Sus scrofa: one gene and its partners. The protein of the gene in region 3 purifies or fractionates together with the protein of the main gene of each other region. This does not show direct contact. Links are inferred from orthologs where the notes say so. Each region holds a gene or a part of one and is shown on either strand. Other genes may lie near its edges. The genes, in order: HOMER1, HOMER3, DBN1, TMOD1 and TWF1.

Region 1 (4,179 bases), about 7.7 Mb from region 3:
TGCCCCTGCATAACCTCCTCTAAGTAACATTTCCTCATTGGCTCTGGCTCCTTACCCATAAAAAGTGCATTACCAACATTCTGGTAACTGACAGCCAGACTACTCTTTATAGAAGAAACCATTTTTGCTATCATTGGAGTAATTACTTCCTTAGCCAATTTTGAAACAGAAAAAAAAGTATTAGATAAAGAAGCTAAAACTGATACAAACATAAAAGCATCTATCCATACGTAGGAACAGTGACTGATCCTGATAACTTTGTATCGTAGATATTAGCACTTTTAATATCCTCACCCTTAAAACCCAAGAAAGAAGTGAATACATGAATCACAGAGAAACTTACAGATTTAGAAATACTCAAAAAACAAAATTTCACAATCATACCTCCCAGAAATAAACAAGGTAACACTTTAAGGAATGTCTTTCAAATCTTTGTACACATACATAGAATGCACTTTATATAGGTGAGAATACAAAATTTTGCATAATCATTTCTAACTGACCACTGCACCATCTTTGAAAACATTTTTCAGGCTAGCTTCCTACCAGATGAACAGCCTATAGTTTACCCAGAGAGCATATACTAACTACTCTGAATATACTAATACGCTACTAAGTAAAACTAAACAGCAATATTGCCATTAATGTCTTATTTCACCTACATTAACTTAGGGATAGCAATAAATATCAACTTAGCATCAATAAAACACTAAATGAAAGCAACACTGAAAACAGGGAACTAAAATTCTATATATTATCAGTTGACTAGGCAAAAAGGCAGCCTGCAAGACCTAAAACTATTTATTTATTTATTTATTTTAGCACAAAAGAACCTGAAAGATGAGTTTCCGGGTGAGTTGGGAGTCTTCCCATTCAGCCGAATGTATACAGATCCCTGGTAACACTGAGTAAACAAGAGTAGGTGGAATCCTCATTCTGTAAACATCTTGGGAGCTGGCAGGGTGATTAAGCAAAGCACATGAATTTTAACGCTAAAATCCAGATGATAGAGATTCATAACTACAGAGTAGGGCAGAAAACGACAGTTTTACAAAAGAGTAAGCAAAAAGTAAGCACAAAAAGGCAAAAGGATAGGTTAAGCCCACTCAAGTATTACAGTTGGTTCAAAATAATTGTCCTACCTAAATTCAGTCATGTACAGACTTCTCTTCCACAAAGGAACACTGACAGAAATTTTCCAACATGAATACTTTGAGCTCTTTGATAGTCTAATCCACTTAAGATAATTTCCTAGAGACCATTATGTAGAACCTAATGGGGGAAACTGAAAGTAACTAGGGCAGAAAATTCCAACTCGCAAAAAAAAGCCTTATTCAGAACAACCTTAAACTTCGGAAAGGAAACAGAAGGCAGGCAACACTACTTAAGGAGGATCGAGGCATGCTTAAAGATAAAGGTGAAAGGATCCAACAATTTATTGAGAAAAATGATCAGAAAAATAATTGGAGCATCCAGCTAATACCAAATTGCTAGGAATCAGGATTTTTCTGTACACTCAAAATGGGATCTAATTCCCCAGATCCTTTCAATTTACACTGTATATGTGTGCTCCACTAAGAACTCAGTGTTTAAGGAATCAATGTATGGTATCCAGAGAGACACAGACCGGGGTTGGGGCTCTCCCTACACTCCTATCACTGCCCGCTGACAGGGACCAATTAGGAGCGAGCCCTTCTATGGGTGGGGTGGGGTCAAGGACACTCTGCTACAGCCCTCTGGACTCAGGCATGTGAACTCCTGGATCCAGTTGTGCCAACAGACACGACATAATAAATAAACATAACCTAAAGTGACCTTATAAAGGAATGAAAGCTGCTTTGGTATCTGTGATCCTTTAGCATGGTTTTCTGTTTGTGTTTAATTCCTAACTCTTAACTTGGTAATTTTACAAAAAGCCCTCAATTCTTAAAACAGCTCTGCCTTAAGGAACTGGTGCCAACTCTTTTCAAAGATAACATAGAAATGCTTCATGTTTTATGGGAGAACATTAAAAGAAAATGTTCATAAAGCAGAACTATTTTTTGAAGCAAATATTAAGTGTTAAGGGTTTAAAGTGAATTTTCGAAAGCTAGAGAAAATGCAAAGGTAAACTGTACTTTGAAGACAGAGTATTGATTAGACTGCTAATTTTTTGGATTTTATAAATAATTTTATTTTCTGATATAAAAAAGAAAACAGTGACTTTTTGCTTTCATCTAGTAGCCTACCTTAGATAAAATAGTTACGTATTAATGAAACTCAGATCTTAACTAAGTCAAATGTTAGTTTTACATATTTAGAATTCTTTTAGCTATGCAAGAGTCATAATGGGTTAACAATTAATCATAGGGAAAAAAACCTCATGAGAAAGAATAGTTTGGTTTTTTCCTTTGTAAGGTCACTAAAAAGTAATTTAATTTTGCCCCATAAAAGTTCTACTCAATTGTACTTACCAAAGAAGTGAGATTTTTGAAAATTTTTAAAAACAAAATGAGAAATAAATAAAATACAAGTGGAGGGTCATGACAAGCCCCCCCAAAAGATAACAAAGACGTGATTAATTTCAACCTCTCCCCTAAAAAAATGTTGCCTATAACAAGCAGCATTGATAGTTGTCAATTTCATCTTTTTTATCAGGTATTTTATTAGGGAGCATAGAAATGACCAATGTGTTATTAGACTTTTGACAGATGAAAAAAGGAAAATCAAGCTACAATTAAGAGCACAAGTTCACCAATAAATCTCTTTTAAGAGTGATACTGGGAGTTCCCGTTCTGGATTACAAACCTGACTAGAATCCATGAGGATGCTGTTGATCCCTGGCCTTGCTCAGTGGGTTTAAGGATCCGGCTTTGCCGTGAGCTCTGGTGTAGGTCAAAGATGTGGCTCGGACCCTGGGTTGCTGTGGCTGTGGTGTACGCTGGCAGCTGCAGCTTCAGATTCGACTCCTCGTTGGGAATTTCCATATGCTGTGGGTGCAGCCAGCCCTAAAAAGAAAAAAAAAAAAAAAAAAAAAAAAAGAGTGATGATGGACGTCTTAATTTTATAGTATACAGAGAGGTATGTTGTGAAAAATTCAGATTTGTTTGTGCCTAAAAGTAAGACACTAACGATTTTATTCACATGTGGAAGACCATGAGTGATTAGCCTTTCAAGGGTTTTACCTACTCTTGCAATGCTCGGTAAGGTTTGAAAATTTCACCTCGGTTTTTGTAGATGGGCTAAAATGTATAGAAATACTGCTTATCACACAGCAATGCTTTTGAAATGAAAACACCTCCTGAGCCTGAAACCTTATATTGTTTCAAAAGGCACTCAACTTTCCAAACTTCAACAGAGTTTTTTTGATCTCTAGGAAAAATCTCGTTTTTTTTCATGAATCTTGCAAAATACAGGTCACTTTACTCTGTGCCCCGCAGGTCACTACAAACATGCAACACAAACAAGAAGCTGTACATTTCACTCAACTAAACAGATTCTAACTAACTGAGAAATAAAGCTATTTAAAATATCTTCTATTCAGTCACTTAAAAATTCTATCAGGAAATATTTCATACATGGAACTCATTTTCCCTACTCTTTCATCTCATGAGTTGGATTAATCCTAAACAACAAAACAACAACAACAAAAATCAAGTAAGTAAAGATAAATATATCAACTGGACACCAAAGGCCTGGGGAAAAAAACCCAAACACATGGTAAAAGGGAGATTAGACCTTTTGAGATTTAACCACCTTTTCCTTTGAGAGATTTAATCACTTTAAACTGAGTTTACAAACCATGTATAATGATACTTTTGTCAGTCTCTTAACTGCCATGACTAACATGTCTGGTAATTATTCTAAATCAACTTTCATGACTCTCTAATCCCCAAGGAGAAAAGTCACCGCAGTCAGATTTACATTGTGACTTCACCTCAAAATTATTAAATTAATAAATTAGTGTACAGAACCAAAATTAAGAAGTTCCCCTAAAGGTACCTTTCATATATTTATACTTTGAAAAGGGTATTTTTGTGTGTATGCTTATTTGCTCATGACAGGTCTACAAGTATGTTGTGAATGTTTAATAATTCTAGAGTCAAGAAAATTACAAATGAAAGAAAAAAATGAATCAATAAATGTTTTTAAAAGGATTAGGGTCTACATAATGCAATCAATGAAAATCTTTTTTTATAT
Region 2 (3,030 bases), about 22 Mb from region 3:
GTATCTTGACCCCGCCCATAACTACGCCCCCTAGCACAGCACCGCCCTCACCCGGTCCTCCGCCCAGTGAGGCCCCGCCCTGCCCTCTGCTGACTCCAGTGTTCCCGCAGCTCGGTGGGCGAGGTGCAGTGGGAGGCCGAGTTCTTCGCGCTGCAGGACAGTAACAACAAGTTGGCGGGCGCCCTTCGAGAGGCCAACGCCGCCGCCGCCCAGTGGAGGCAGCAGCTGGAGGCCCAGCGCGCAGAGGCCGACAGGCTGCGGCAGCGGGTGAGGGAGCCCCTCCCTCCCAGAGACCCCAAGTGGTCCAGGCCACTGTGAAGTCCCTGCGCCCTGTCTGTCTCGGGTCCGCTGGCTGGCTGTGTGATCTCCGCAGGTCTCTTCCCTGACCTGAGCCTTAGTTTTGTGCTCTGTAGTATGGGTCTGAAATAATGTGAGCCTCAGAGGGTTGTCCTACCTTTAGGACCCTAAAGTCTCATCTGCCAGAGTCAGGGTGGTGGCCCCAAATAGAAGGGGTGAGTGCCCAGTCATGGGCTTGACTGATCAGGAGGCATATTCCCCACGGGTCAGCAGAGTACAGACTGGGGGTCAGGGAACTGACCCTCCTATCTTTGCAGGTGGCTGAACTGGAGGCCCAGGCTGCCACTGAGCCACCCACAGTCACTGAGAAGGAGGGGCCGGGCCAGTCTCTGGAGCAACTGGAGGCACTAGTGCAAACCAAGGACCAGGTGTGTGAACTGTCTGTGTGCATGTGTGTTTCCTTGGACTTTGCCTTCCCTGATCTCCTATGGGGGAGCCAGGACCCTCAGAACAGATCCTGGGAACTTCTCCACCAGGAGATCCAGACGCTGAAGAGCCAGACTGGTGGGACCCGAGAGGCACCAGACACCACCGAACGTGAGGAGACACAGCAGAAGGTGCAGGTGTGTGTGGTTGCTGTGAGGGTGGGATGACTGCCTAGGGCCCCCAGCCCCTGGTATGGGACAGACATGGGATCTCCCTTTCCTGGTGGGTTCTGGGCAGCTATGTGCTTCCCTGAGCCTCAGTTTCTTCATCTATGAATGCAGTCAGGAAGACATCTAAGGTTGTGAAGGATTCAGGTGACCAGGTACATGGAGGGATTGAGTCACAGTGGGTGGTTTATAAGCAAGTTATTAGTATAATATTTCATCTCATTCCTTTCATGCAACCAGCAGTTTTGAGTTTGTTTTGTTTTTTTTGTTTGTTTTTTGCTTTTTAGGGTCACAGCTGCAGCATATGGAAGTTCCCACGCTAAGGGACAAACCAGAGCCACTGCTGCCAGCCTACCCTACAGCCACAGCAGTGCTAGATCCGAGTCACATCTATGGCCTACGCAGCAGCTTGCAGCAACGCTGGATCCTTAACCCACTAAGCAAGGCCAGGAATCAGACCCACCTCCTCATGGATACTAGTTGGGTTCCTAACCCACTGAGCCGAAGCAGGAACTCCCAACAAGCAGTTTTTGAATCTCTGTTGAATCTCCATTCTTGACCCCATCAAATCCTCACACATCCCCAGCCTGAGGTTGGGAGCCTTCATTTGTACCCATGTGCGGCTGGCCTGGCTTTCACTGAAGACTTTATCTGAGAAATGTTCCTGGGGGCATGTCCTGTGAGTCCAGCAGGTAGAGAACTTAGAGGATCTCTTCTGCCCCCAAAGAGAGAGAAATTGGGAGAGGGATGCTCCCTGTTTTCTTCTGGGCAGAGTGTTCAGCATGTGCAAAGGCCCTGGGGTGGGGTGGGGGAGTCATTATGTTCAAGAAACCACAAGGAAGCCAGCAAGGCTGAGTTGGAATGAACAAAGAGAGGAAAGAGGGCTATGTATTTCATTCCCAGCGTGATAGGTGACAGGAGAGTTTTGAATAGAAGAGGAAAGTGGTCAGTTCAATGATGTTCAAGTTGGCAGGGGGACCAGGGAAGCCAGGTGACATAGAAGGTTTGGCCCAGAGTGGAGGCTGTGGGGATACCATTGAGATGCTGGACCCTTCAAACTTGCTGGGGCCCCCAACCCTGCTTGCCCTCTCCCTGCAGGACCTGGAGACCCGAAACGCGGAACTGGAGCACCAGCTGCGGGCAACTGAGCGCAGCCTGGAGGAGGCTCGGGTAGAGCGGGAGCGGGCACGGGCCGAGGTGGGCCGGGCCGCGCAGCTGCTGGACGTCAGGCTCTTTGAGCTGAGTGAGCTGCGGGAGGGCCTGGCCCGCCTGGCCGAGGGCGCGCCCTGAGTCTGCCTCCGGGTCTACGTGGGGGCAGGGGTGCCCACGGGAGCTGGTTTTACATGAACGATTCCCGCCTGGGGCACGGGCCAGGCCGCAGGCGGCACAGTGGGCCATTCACCTTGACAGGGACTGGGGCCCAGCTCAGCCTGGGGAAGGCCTGTCCACCGTACTCTAGTCAGCCCCGGCTGTTCACAGCTCGGAGGCTGTTTTTGAGCTTTTCATTGTGTAGAATTTCTAGACTCCCTGGGGTGCATACCAGTGCCCACATTACATTTCTAAGCGTGGCTGTGTGTGTGTGGTGTGTGAGCCATGGGTACCTGACCGCCGTCACTGGGCCCTCTGTCCGCCCTCAGTCTGTATAGGGCTTGGTAAGCCATTTGGAGGGCTCTGCCCATGTTTTCTGGACCAGTTTGGACTAAGGCAGACCCTGCTTAAGCCTGCCCCCCTTCGCTCTGGCCATAAACCCCCAATGCCACCAGGTGGGCGGGTGGGGAAGCTCCTAGAACATGGCTGTGTTCGCTAGCATGTGATCTCGCCTAAACCTCACATCTGCATCTGCAGAGTAGGGCACTTGCTGTTCCCATTTTCCAGATGAGGCCCATATAAGGGGCTTCACCAACCCAAGGTCACCTAGCTGGAATGGTCAGCCCTGCAGTTCAAAGCTTTGGGGCTGGTCCAGCAGAATGAAGAACTTGAGGGGAGGGGTGGGGGCGACATGATGTTCTGAGGGGCTGGAGAACCACAGGCGGCCACACCCTCCTCCCTCTGCCCCCTCTCCCTGAGAGTCCTACCAGGA
Region 3 (2,826 bases):
CCCTTGTTCGGGAGGACTACAGCCGTATAGAGGGGCGCCCGGCGTCCCGGGCCCCACCCGCGGACTCCTGGCCTGATTGCGGGGCTTTTTAAATGCTTCCCTTGGACTGCAGACGTGGGGGTGGGGGGTTGGGGGGAGGGATTTCTTACCCCGTTTGTTACATTTTGAGGATAATAAAGGTGTGTGATCTGGTTTGGTACAAGCGGAGGGGCACCCACTGCCTACGCCCAAGGTTCTGGTGGCCAGACTGTGGGCCTTGGTGGGACCGAACCTAAATGCACCTCTCAGCTACAAACTGGCTTGGGGATACAGAACTAAACTTGAGGTCAACCTGCTTCAAACCAGAGGCTGGTCCCCATGGAATCCTCAGACCCCACTTTCCTTGCCCATGAGGTCTTGCTTAAAGGCACCCCCTGCAGCTTTAGATGTGGGAAAAGCTGGGAATGGGGTTAGGGCAGGCAGCCCACCCCGGATCAGCCCCTGGAGGCCCGGAGCAGCAGGCCCGAAGGGATCTGGATTTCTTTATTAACAGACATGAGCACGACCTGTTACAGAAGTTTGTGCTTTCCAAAAAACAGTTACTGAACGTGAAAAAGGAACCCAAGCAAAGAGGGAGGAGGTGAAGAGGGACCACCCATAGCCCTGACCTGAATCACGCCTAGGGCCTCCAGCTTGGGACCTGCCCAGCAGGAGGGGGCAGGAAAGGGCCAGGAAGCTGAGGGGCCCCAGCTGGGCCTGCTACTTCCTTCAGGCCAGGTGGGGAGGTCAAGAGAAGGGTGGGGAAGGGGGGTCCCAGGGAACCAGAGCCCACGAGCCGTTTATTGCCATGTTTTAAAATTCGTGCAAAATATCTGAAGCCCTGGACAGAGAATACAAAGTGATATTTTTCCAAGAAACAGAAAACTAGGAAAAGAGGTGGGGGGAACATTTTCCCACCAGAGCATCCCCCCACACAGGCCCCAAAGCAGGGTGAGGCCTCCACCCCGGCCAGCTGAGTGACCAGGGAGGACTAAGATCTACAATCTGGACCGGGCAGGAAGGGGATGGAATTTGCAACAGCGTCTCAACTACCAACGGGAGGAAAACCGGTCAACTGTACAAGTCTCCTATCAACTTTTAAAAAAAAGAAAAGCTGTAAAAGTCGGGCCCTGTGGGTAGGGAAGCGGCCAAGTCCCCGGCCAGGGCCGGAGTCCAGAGGGTGCCAGGCGGAGCTGCTGCAAGTGCAGGCACTGCGGGCCGTCTGGCCAGAGGCCAGCGCAGGTGTGAGGCCTTGGCGAGGGCAGCCTGAGGACGGGCACCACCGCTAGTCGCCACCCTCGAAGCCCTCCTCCTCTTCTGGTACTGGGTCTGCATCCCAGCAAGTGATGTCGATTTCTATGGTGTGGGAAAGGGAAACAAGTTAAGGAGGTAGCCCAGCAGATCCGTGCCCATGACCCCCTAACCCCAGGAAGCTGTGCCAGCTGTGTATGAGGGGTCGCTGCCTGTCCAAACGCAGTACCCCTGCTCCACCCATTCCCAGTTCTACCTGGAGGCTTGTTGTAGAACACAGGAGGCGGGGCCTTTGCACACAGCTCTTCCGATTGGGCAAACTCCTCCTCCTGTGATTGGCTGAAGTACCCCTCACTGGCCTGCAGGAGAAAAGCCCCATGTTACTGGGCCCCACCCAGCAGGACTAGGGCTGACCTACCAAGCCTGAACACGTTTCCCCAGCAACCCAGCAACCAGTGATTCCATCAGTGGTTGCCAGGGAAACACAGATGCCTGCCTTGGGAATAAAACAGAGTGGCCCAGGCAGGGGGAATGAACTAGAGCTGTTCCCCCCACTCCCTACAGTGTGGGTCAGAGTGGGACGGGGTTACTGCTGCAAGCCTGAGGAAGGCAGGGTTAGCCCCCTGCTCAAGCCCCTCCCACCAGGAAGCCCCAGCCCCACCTGGGTCCCCTCCTTCTGGGTGGTCTCGCCATTGGTCAGCAGGTGGGGCTCTGGCTCTGGCTCCAGCTCCGGCTCCGGCTCTGGCTCCCGATCCGGCTCTAGATCCAGCTCCTCTAGAGCTGAGGGCAGAGTTGGAGCCTGAGGGACAGCCAGCGACACCCCTTCTACTTCCTCCTCTTGGTCACAGAAGGTAGCGGGCGGCTCAGGAAGCTCATCAAAATTAAGAAGATTAGCACTGCCTTCACCTGCTGGTGGCAGTGGCTCCTGAGCCACCTCGTCCAGCAGGGGCACCTCTGCCAGAGGGACCTCAGCACCCGAGGGTGGTGTGGGGGCCCTAGGCTCAGCCTGGGGTGCAGAGGCCTCCTCCCCATTGCCAGGCCATAGGTCAATGAGGCTGGCAGCTGCAGGGGTGACAGTGTTGGCAACAGCGGTGTCAGCAGCGGCAGTGTCGGCTTCAATGGCATCAGCTACCAGGGTGTCAGCTGCAGAGGCTCCAGCCATGGCAGGCTCTAGAGGGGCAGCCAGGACAGCCTGCTCTGTAGACGCCATGAACATCAAGTCCTCCGGGGGGCTGCCTCGGCCCTGGGGAGGCTCCGGTGCCTGAGGGGGCTCCTCCACAGGGCCAGCCCAGGCCTGAGGGGCTGCTTCTCTGGCTTCCTTGCTCGTCTCTTCACTATCCAGGCCAGGGCTGGGCTCCTGGGTTTCTGACGAAGCAGAAAGGAGACATGATCAGCTCCCAGCAAAGGATGAGGGCCCTGGGCAGCCACCAGTACAGTTCCCTGCCCCCTGGCTGAGGAATCAGCCACCTCCAGGAAAGAAGGCCTCCAGTAAGACTTCCATGCAGAGTGCCTTCTAGCACCCACTGGCCCCCACTGCCCCTTTGCTAGTGTCTTTAA
Region 4 (3,517 bases), on a different chromosome or scaffold from region 3:
CCTTACTTTAAATCAGTGGCCTCTATCAGATCTATTCAAAAGATGTGAGTTTGCAAACCCTTTCCCGGTCAGTTACAACCTAGTATGTTTCCCCAGTCACAATACTCAGCCTTTCAGAGGCCGGAGTGTGCCCCAGCCCCTCACTGCCATCCAAATCCTTTATGGTGACAAAAATCGGTCAGGTCTTCCCTTCTGAGGATCATTGGGAAAACACTTGCTCTCCATGCTTAATTCATTTTATATTCATATGAGTTCATTGTTTAAATTTTAAGATACACTTGAATAACATACCCCCTGGCCAACATATGTATTTGTATTTTATCTGATTATAGAACAGCAACAATAGTCAGTAATAATTTGTGTGCTCACCGTGTCAGGCACTGTGCTAAGCACTCTTGTGCATTATCTGATTTTCTCAACATTTCTGAGGGAGCGACTCTCCTTATTCACATTTTAGAGCCGTAGAAACAGAGAAACCGTGAGATGCAGTGACTTGCCCAAGTTCATGTCACTGGAGACATCATTCCTTTAAGACAGAGCTTAAGCCCAGTGTGGGGTCAACTGTGAGGTGCTGGCATGTCACAGAATTTGATTCCTCCTCATGGGTAAACACAGATGGACATTTACGGGGCAGTTAGGCTGTTCCCTCTCTCAGCTGAGCGACAGTAAATGTACTTACACTGAGAACACACACACAATAGCCGCAGGAAATCCTCTCTCACCTGGAACAAGCCCATGGAAGCGTGGATCATCTGTGGACCATCAGCCATCCTTCATAGCATGTTGGACAGTGTCTGAATACTGCTGCTTAGGGAAAACCAGGGTGTCTGGGGCACCACATATATTCTCAACTCCTGTCCCTAAATCAGTCAAGGCTTTTTCTAGCTGCTGGCCATCGTCTCATAATATGCTCCAGCTCCCAAATGGCTCTTCTGACCTGTGACCTAAACCCATGTGCATGCACACCAGGCCCGCCCTCCAAGCTCCTGCATGTACCACTCACTGTGCCGGGCCCTTGCTCATCTCACCTCCGCCAGAGTTGGGCTCACGTTCTGGTCTCCGGATCTGACACCCATTGCTCTTACAGGAACAGCACTGTGGTGTTGAATAGTGGTAAACTGTCTTATTAAAAAAAGCATACTGCAGGAGTTCCCGTCGTGGCGCAGTGGTTAACAAATCCGACTAAGAACCATGAGGTTGTGGGTTCGATCCCTGGCCTTGCTCAGTGGGTTAGGGATCTGGCATTGCCGTGAGCTGTGGTGTAGGTCACAGACACGGCTCAGATCCCACATTGCTGTGGCTTTAGTGTAGGCCGGTGGCTACAGCTCCGATTAGACCCCTAACCTGGGAACCTCCATATGCCGCAGGAGCAGCCCAAGAAATGGCAAAAAGACAAAAATAAATAAATGAATAAATAAATAAATAAGACATACTGCAGTTAAATGGTAGAATTCCTCGCCCCCAGTTTATCCGTCTATGTGCCAGGCACAGAGCTCTCTTCGTACACCTGACTGCATTTCCCTCTCAGAGGGGGCTTTTAGGAAGGGCTTTGGCATATGAGTGACTGACAGAAGATGCACATTTTGCTGGTACCAGGATGGGGGATGGAGATGGAATGGCGGTCCAGTGTAGCCTGCTTGGGGGTGCAGCAAGAAGTGAGGTAAGGGAGTTACCATTGTAACTCAGCAGGTTACAAACCCCACTAGCATCCTTGAAGACATGGGTTCCATCCCTGGCCTCGCTCAGTGGATTAAGGATCGGGCATTGCCACAAGCTGCCGACCCCCACATAGCCTGGGGACCTAACTTCCACACGCAGCAGATGTGGCCCTAAAATGACAATTAAAAAAAAAAAAGATTCTGCTCTCATCAGCCTCCCCATATCCTCCCGACCTCCTGGAATGAAGAGGTGGGGAGGGCACGATGATCTGATTGAAGATTGCCCTCTCCCCCCTAATCTGAAGAAGAACCCTAGTTTTGTCCTAGATTTGGGTGAGTCTTTATTTGCTCTGGGCCTCAGTCTCCTCCCTAAGGGAGCGTGTGTGCACAGGATGATCTCTGAGCATCCTTGCACCCCTAAACTTCTTTGACTCTCCATAATACTAAGTGAAGTGAAGCGCATGTGACTCAAATCCACCCCGATTAGGAATTGCCGCTGGTAGCCAGCCCACACCTAGAAGCCTGCCCTTGTTTGAAGATGAAAACACAGGGATTGGTTGATGCTATCTTTCCTGAGAGGCGCATCTCCAGGGGCAACATTCAAAATATTTAACAGCCCGCCTGCATGCGTGAGCACCACAGTCAGGAGGGTAGAAAGCAGCTGGTAGAGCCATCCAGGGCTGCAGCCTGAAAGCGCTTTATACACAGCAGCTGGAAATACCCTCCTGCGTCCAAACACCAACTTAATCATATTCTTCCCTCAGCGGGTGCTCTCGGAGCACCCTGCCAGGCTCAGCCCCAACAACCCCCATCCCCTCACCTTTAAAAAACATTAGGAGTTCCCGTCGTGGTGCAGTGGTTAACGAATCCAACTAGGAACCATGAGGTTGCGGGTTTGATCCCTGGCCTAGCTCAGTGGGTTAAGGATCCGGCGTTGCCGTGAGCTGTGGTGTAGGTGGCAGATGTGGCTCAGATCCCACTTTGCTGTGACTGTGGCGTAGGCCGGTGGCTACAGCTCCGATTCGACCCCTAGCCTGGGAACCTCCATATGCCGTGGGAGCAGCCCTAGAAAAGGCAAAAAGACAAAAAGACAAAAAAAAAAATTAGAAGCTGGGAGGCAGGGTTGGTTAAGACACCTGAATCCTAGCCTCTCTCTGGCCCTGTCTGCCAGCGACCTGGGGCAAGTCCCTGCACCTCCTGGGCTCTTAGTTTCCTCACGTGTGAAAGAGTGACTTGGATTGATTAGCTGAGCTCAGAGCTCCCCATCGTTCACTGATGAGTTTCTGGAGAAGTGCGAGTCTTCCGCAGCTGATTGCTCTCTCTTTCTCTCTCTCTCTCTGTGTCACCTGTCCCACCACCGCCACTATAGAATGCACTGCTGCCTGCAGGCCTGAGGCAGAAGGATCAGACCACCAAGGCGCCCACGGGCCCCTTTAAAAGGGAGGAGCTCTTGGATCACTTGGAAAAGCAAGCAAAGGAGTTTAAGGACCGAGAAGATCTGGTCCCCTACACAGGGGAGAAGCGAGGTACTGAACATTGCTGCGCTGTTGAATGCGTCCTTCCCCAGGCGGCACGGAGAGCCAGCTGTATGGGCCAGATGTGACCGGGCCTCCTTGCCCTCATCTCTTCCTAGCCCAGAGTCATAAACCCAACTCCAGAGGCATCGATGCAGGAGGTGGATTTAATGCAGTCCCCTCCCCCCACAAGTGGTATCAGAACCTGAGGTCCCAGCCAGGCCCGTCCCTTCCAAATCAGGAGCAAGAGGGGCCCTGTCTCTGCCCTAAGACTTCTGCTCCTTCCCTCAAGTTGCGGCTGCAATTTCCCTTCATCTGTCCCTCTCTGCATCTCTGCCCCAGCCG
Region 5 (4,052 bases), on a different chromosome or scaffold from region 3:
CAGGTGCTCAACACTGCTATCAAAACTGGTAAATCAGGGTGAACTGTTGAGTCAGGAAGAATTTGGTTAGACCAAAACTCCTCCGTACATTTCTTAAATCCAAATAAGTTATAAAATTCAATTGTGCTTACTCCAGAATGAGGCTGCATTTAAGAAACAAAGCTTAAATAATAAGGAACAGAGCACAGCAAACTTGTTTGCCATGACAATCGTAAAGAAAAAGTTACCCACCTGCTAGTTAATTAAACACACGCTGCATTTAAAGTGATTTCGTTCACTTGCATTCATATATCAGCCTGTACAAAGTATTTATTGATAATGAGACTGTACTTTCATATACTTGTCAGGTCAAAGTCCTAAAAAAAAAGATTGAGTTTTCTACCTAGGAAACGATAATCTAGGAGTACTAGAAAAGTAGTAGAAAAGTAACTTCTAAAATTACACTTAGAAAGGGAAATCCACGTTCAGAAAAACAGAAAATAAAAAATAATTTTTCATAATATCACCTGTGGGAACTTAGAAATTACCCTAATGAATCTTGAATAATTACCTGATTAAAGAAGTAAATGGCCAATCTAAAGCAGAACAGTGCTCCAGTTTAGAACGATAGAATTGACCACAGAAAAGTCAAGTCACTTAATGTTCTCACTCTCAGTGACTCTTTTTAGAATGAAGAGAAAGGAAAACCTGGTCTTTAAACGTGCCCAACTAAAAAAAGCAGTTAACTGAGATTAGCTTAATTTAAAAGCGTAGGGGACTTTGTTGGGACACTGCCTGTTATCATTTTAAAAAATGGGTCAGGGAGTGACTTTTCAAGTTAAATTGTATAGACCGCAGAAGGAGTAAACAAAGAAGGATATGTGCACATCCTTTTAAAGCTGGAAATGCGTTCAGTAAAATATTCATTTCCTTTTTTGAGCACCCTTTGAACCAGTGAGTGGCGGCGCTGGCCGGGTCGCTAGAGGGCAGGGTCGCTAGAAGGCAGACCCCAGAGGCCAAAGCCATCATATTTTGTGTCACCGTGCTGAAGCAGGAAAAGCAGCGACAAATACGGAGGAGAGTGATCCCCCGGCAGAGAGCAGGAATCGAGGCCCGGGGGCGTGGACCCACAGTCCGGCTGCGCGGAGTGGGCGAGGGTGGCAGTAAGCAGGCAGTAGCGGCGGCGGCGGGGGCGCGCGAGGACGCCGCGGGGCTCGCAGGGCTCGCAGGGAGGGGCGGGGCGATGGCGGGTCGCAGACCGATGACGAGGCGGGGCCGGCGAAGGAGCCGCCACTTCCTGGAGCCACCGGCCGGGGCCGCTCGCTGCAACTCAGCGCCGGAGCCGGGAGCCCGCGGCCGCCGCCATGTCCCACCAGACGGGCATCCAAGGTAACTGCGCCGGCATTGCCCGCGGGAAGGGGCTCCCGGGAGGCCCCGGGCGACCCGGGCAGGCAACAGGACGGGCAGAGCTAGAGTCGGGCGGGGAGCACAGGGAGTCCGTCTCGGGGGCGATCCGGGCCTCCGCGCTCTCGGACCGGGCGCTCCCGGCCTGCCGCCCTCCCAGCCCGGGCCCGGCCGCCGCCACGTTGCCTGCGGACCCGAAATTCTCCCGAGCGGAGGAGTTGGGTTTTGGAGGCGGCCGGGGTGAAGGGGGCGTGCCGTCCGCCGCCGCCGGCGTTAGCCCAGCTTTCCTCCTTCTTATCCCGCTGGGAAGATTTGGAACAGTGGAGGCGATTGCAACTCCTTTTGCTGGCTGGAGGCGGGCGAATTTTCTTTTTCCCGGTCCAAAGGAGTTGTTACAGGATTTCGAGTATGAGAAGGATGCAGGAATCTTATATATTTCCAAACTCTTCCGCATTTTCTTCCAAAATGAGAACATCAGCACCGTTGTATGTATCCTGAGTGTGAGGCATGTTGATCCTTCTTAGGTACTCCCCAGGGAACTGAAAAGTCTAATCCGTCTGGCTGCCTTTAATTATCCCGTGCAGGCAATTGAATGTGCTGTTACATTTGCCCAGTATTATTTACTGATTTGAAAACGGGCAGTTGAAAGCCTCACCTCATCAGAATCAAAGCATATGTCCCAGGGTTATTCAGGATCACTGAACGAGTTCTAATATAAACATAAGCTCTTCTGTTAATAAGACAACGAATCCTTTCCTCAGATGTCGTCTAATTGTATTTTGTTTTTAAGGGTCTTTGACACCGCCCCACACCTCCCCTTTCAAACACAAACCCAAGCAAAATATTTAGTCTCAAATCTAAAAGCATTGTTTCATTTGTCTGCGTTAGTTTCCATATATAAATATGTAGTTACTGACTTGCATGCTTGAGCCTTGTAACAAGCACTATTAAATAGTGGTTTTTGCTGTCAATACACAACCCAAGAAAAAATTAGAACAAAATTGAAGCTTTAATAGGAACACAAGGGCTAGGTTATTAAATATGTATTTGCTCAATGAGATTATTCCAGCTTTTTGAGAAGTACAGCCTAGAAAAGTAGAATCATAAGCATAAGCTTGAATGAATTTTATTGGCTTTTTCTTTTTTGTTCCCCGACGTTTTTGTTTTTAATGTGAAAATGTAGAAAATAACTTGATGAAGGGGAGGTGTATTTATCATATGCTTGAAATTGGACCAGAAGAGAATGAAAGCATGTTTTCAGCATTTTTCAAACAAGCAATAAAGGTGTTTTTTTCAGAATTGTGATTTGTTCCTTATTGGGTTTGAGAAACTTTAATACATTCACTCTCAGTATTATTTTTTGTGATGGAATTATCTAGCCAAAGAAGATTAAAATTAATATACCTTTAAAACATAAATTAAATATACTAGTTGTATCTACTATATCTAACATGGTAGATATCTACAATATCTACTGTGTTACACCTTTTAAGTTGTATAATTTAAATTACTGATAAGGTAACACTGCATATTCAAGATTTTTCTTTGTATTTCATTTTTTCCTTATTCTAGCATTACAAACTATTAATACATAAATATAAAAAATAGGTTTACTTGTCTTTATCTTTTTCCCCAGCAAGTGAAGATGTTAAAGATATCTTTGCCAGAGCAAGAAATGGAAAATACAGGCTTCTGAAAATATCTATTGAAAATGGTTAGTTAAACATTTTTAAATATTGTTTGTCCTTGGAATATTGGGTGTTATCTTTTCAAACTTCTAAAACATTGTCAGTGATTAGGACTGTTAATAAATGTGAAACAAGTTCAGAACTTGCCTTTAGTTAAACTTGAATCCTCTACATTTTGGCATGTCCCTCAGGCCCATGCTTACCTTCTGAATTCTGTGGTTGATGATCAGGGAAACAAAAAGATGTTTTTTGGTGTGACATCTTCCTGTTTTACTTTTTGTGTCTCAGTTTCTGTACCATAATCTCTGTCTCATGTCAGTGCTTGCATCTGTGGAATGGAAATCAGTAACAGGTGATTATCCCTCCAAAATAGTTTCTTGTGAATTGTTATTAATGTAAATTAACATTATGGAGTAGAAAGATATCAAACTCTCCCATTTTCTTGACTTGATTGCAGTGTATGCTGCTGAAATAATTCTACCCTTTCTTATTTGGGAAAAGTTGCGAGAATGTAACGAACTATAATTTGATCCTTTTGAAATAAAGCTGTAAGCAGGGGAATTTGTTGGGTGGAGAATCTTTTAATTCAGCTAGATTTGAGTGTGAACAATTAATATTATAACTACTTAATCACAAATGAATATGTTAAAATAGTCCATTGACCTAATTTCTTAAATACCTTGAAATATTTTGCTTTGGAAAAATATCTTGCCTTTTCATAAACTAGAACTAATTCTAATTTACCTTCCATTTTTTCTTATATATTAAAAATACCAAAGTAGTTTGACAAAGATGCAATTGTTCTGCATATATTAACGCACTTAAAGAGAATAAACATATACTATAAAGCAGCATATCTTAGAACTATTGAACTAAAGTATTAAATGTAGTTACTTCCTAACTGACTAGTTAAGTAAAATGGAAAAGTTTATCTAACTAATATCTCTACAGAAGGAAAATGACAATATTTCCTATATCACT

What was found.
Region 1: the proteins of DBN1 (region 3) and HOMER1 purify together in Homo sapiens (co-immunoprecipitation; 3 studies listed by BioGRID and IntAct, counting the BioPlex papers as one, with this or other methods). This does not show direct contact. The link is inferred for Sus scrofa from reciprocal best matches to the Homo sapiens genes DBN1 and HOMER1.
Region 2: the proteins of DBN1 (region 3) and HOMER3 purify together in Homo sapiens (co-immunoprecipitation; 3 studies listed by BioGRID and IntAct, counting the BioPlex papers as one, with this or other methods). This does not show direct contact. The link is inferred for Sus scrofa from reciprocal best matches to the Homo sapiens genes DBN1 and HOMER3.
Region 4: the proteins of DBN1 (region 3) and TMOD1 purify together in Homo sapiens (co-immunoprecipitation; 3 studies listed by BioGRID and IntAct, with this or other methods). This does not show direct contact. The link is inferred for Sus scrofa from reciprocal best matches to the Homo sapiens genes DBN1 and TMOD1.
Region 5: the proteins of DBN1 (region 3) and TWF1 purify together in Homo sapiens (affinity purification with mass spectrometry; 3 studies listed by BioGRID and IntAct, with this or other methods). This does not show direct contact. The link is inferred for Sus scrofa from reciprocal best matches to the Homo sapiens genes DBN1 and TWF1.

The regions. Positions count from the first base shown.
Region 1 is NC_010444.4:88,243,194-88,247,372, forward strand, and holds the start of HOMER1 (homer protein homolog 1), read right to left. Parts: upstream 2,813-4,179; 5' UTR 1,157-2,812; coding exon 1,143-1,156; intron 1-1,142. UniProt on the Homo sapiens protein: Postsynaptic density scaffolding protein. Binds and cross-links cytoplasmic regions of GRM1, GRM5, ITPR1, DNM3, RYR1, RYR2, SHANK1 and SHANK3.
Region 2 is NC_010444.4:58,919,957-58,922,986, forward strand, and holds the end of HOMER3 (homer protein homolog 3), read left to right. Parts: intron 1-110; coding exon 111-267; intron 268-614; coding exon 615-725; intron 726-833; coding exon 834-920; intron 921-2,048; coding exon 2,049-2,240; 3' UTR 2,241-2,518; downstream 2,519-3,030. UniProt on the Homo sapiens protein: Postsynaptic density scaffolding protein. Binds and cross-links cytoplasmic regions of GRM1, GRM5, ITPR1, DNM3, RYR1, RYR2, SHANK1 and SHANK3.
Region 3 is NC_010444.4:80,493,478-80,496,303, reverse strand, and holds the end of DBN1 (drebrin), read right to left. Parts: intron 2,635-2,826; coding exon 1,931-2,634; intron 1,629-1,930; coding exon 1,526-1,628; intron 1,375-1,525; coding exon 1,304-1,374; 3' UTR 507-1,303; downstream 1-506. Other genes in the region: PRR7 (proline-rich protein 7), read left to right, coding at 1-30. UniProt on the Homo sapiens protein: Actin cytoskeleton-organizing protein that plays a role in the formation of cell projections. Required for actin polymerization at immunological synapses (IS) and for the recruitment of the chemokine receptor CXCR4 to IS.
Region 4 is NC_010443.5:239,413,135-239,416,651, forward strand, and holds part of TMOD1 (tropomodulin-1), read left to right. Parts: intron 1-3,027; coding exon 3,028-3,184; intron 3,185-3,517. UniProt on the Homo sapiens protein: Blocks the elongation and depolymerization of the actin filaments at the pointed end. The Tmod/TM complex contributes to the formation of the short actin protofilament, which in turn defines the geometry of the membrane skeleton.
Region 5 is NC_010447.5:74,878,406-74,882,457, reverse strand, and holds the start of TWF1 (twinfilin-1), read left to right. Parts: upstream 1-1,237; 5' UTR 1,238-1,343; coding exon 1,344-1,368; intron 1,369-3,019; coding exon 3,020-3,097; intron 3,098-4,052. UniProt on the Homo sapiens protein: Actin-binding protein involved in motile and morphological processes. Inhibits actin polymerization, likely by sequestering G-actin. By capping the barbed ends of filaments, it also regulates motility.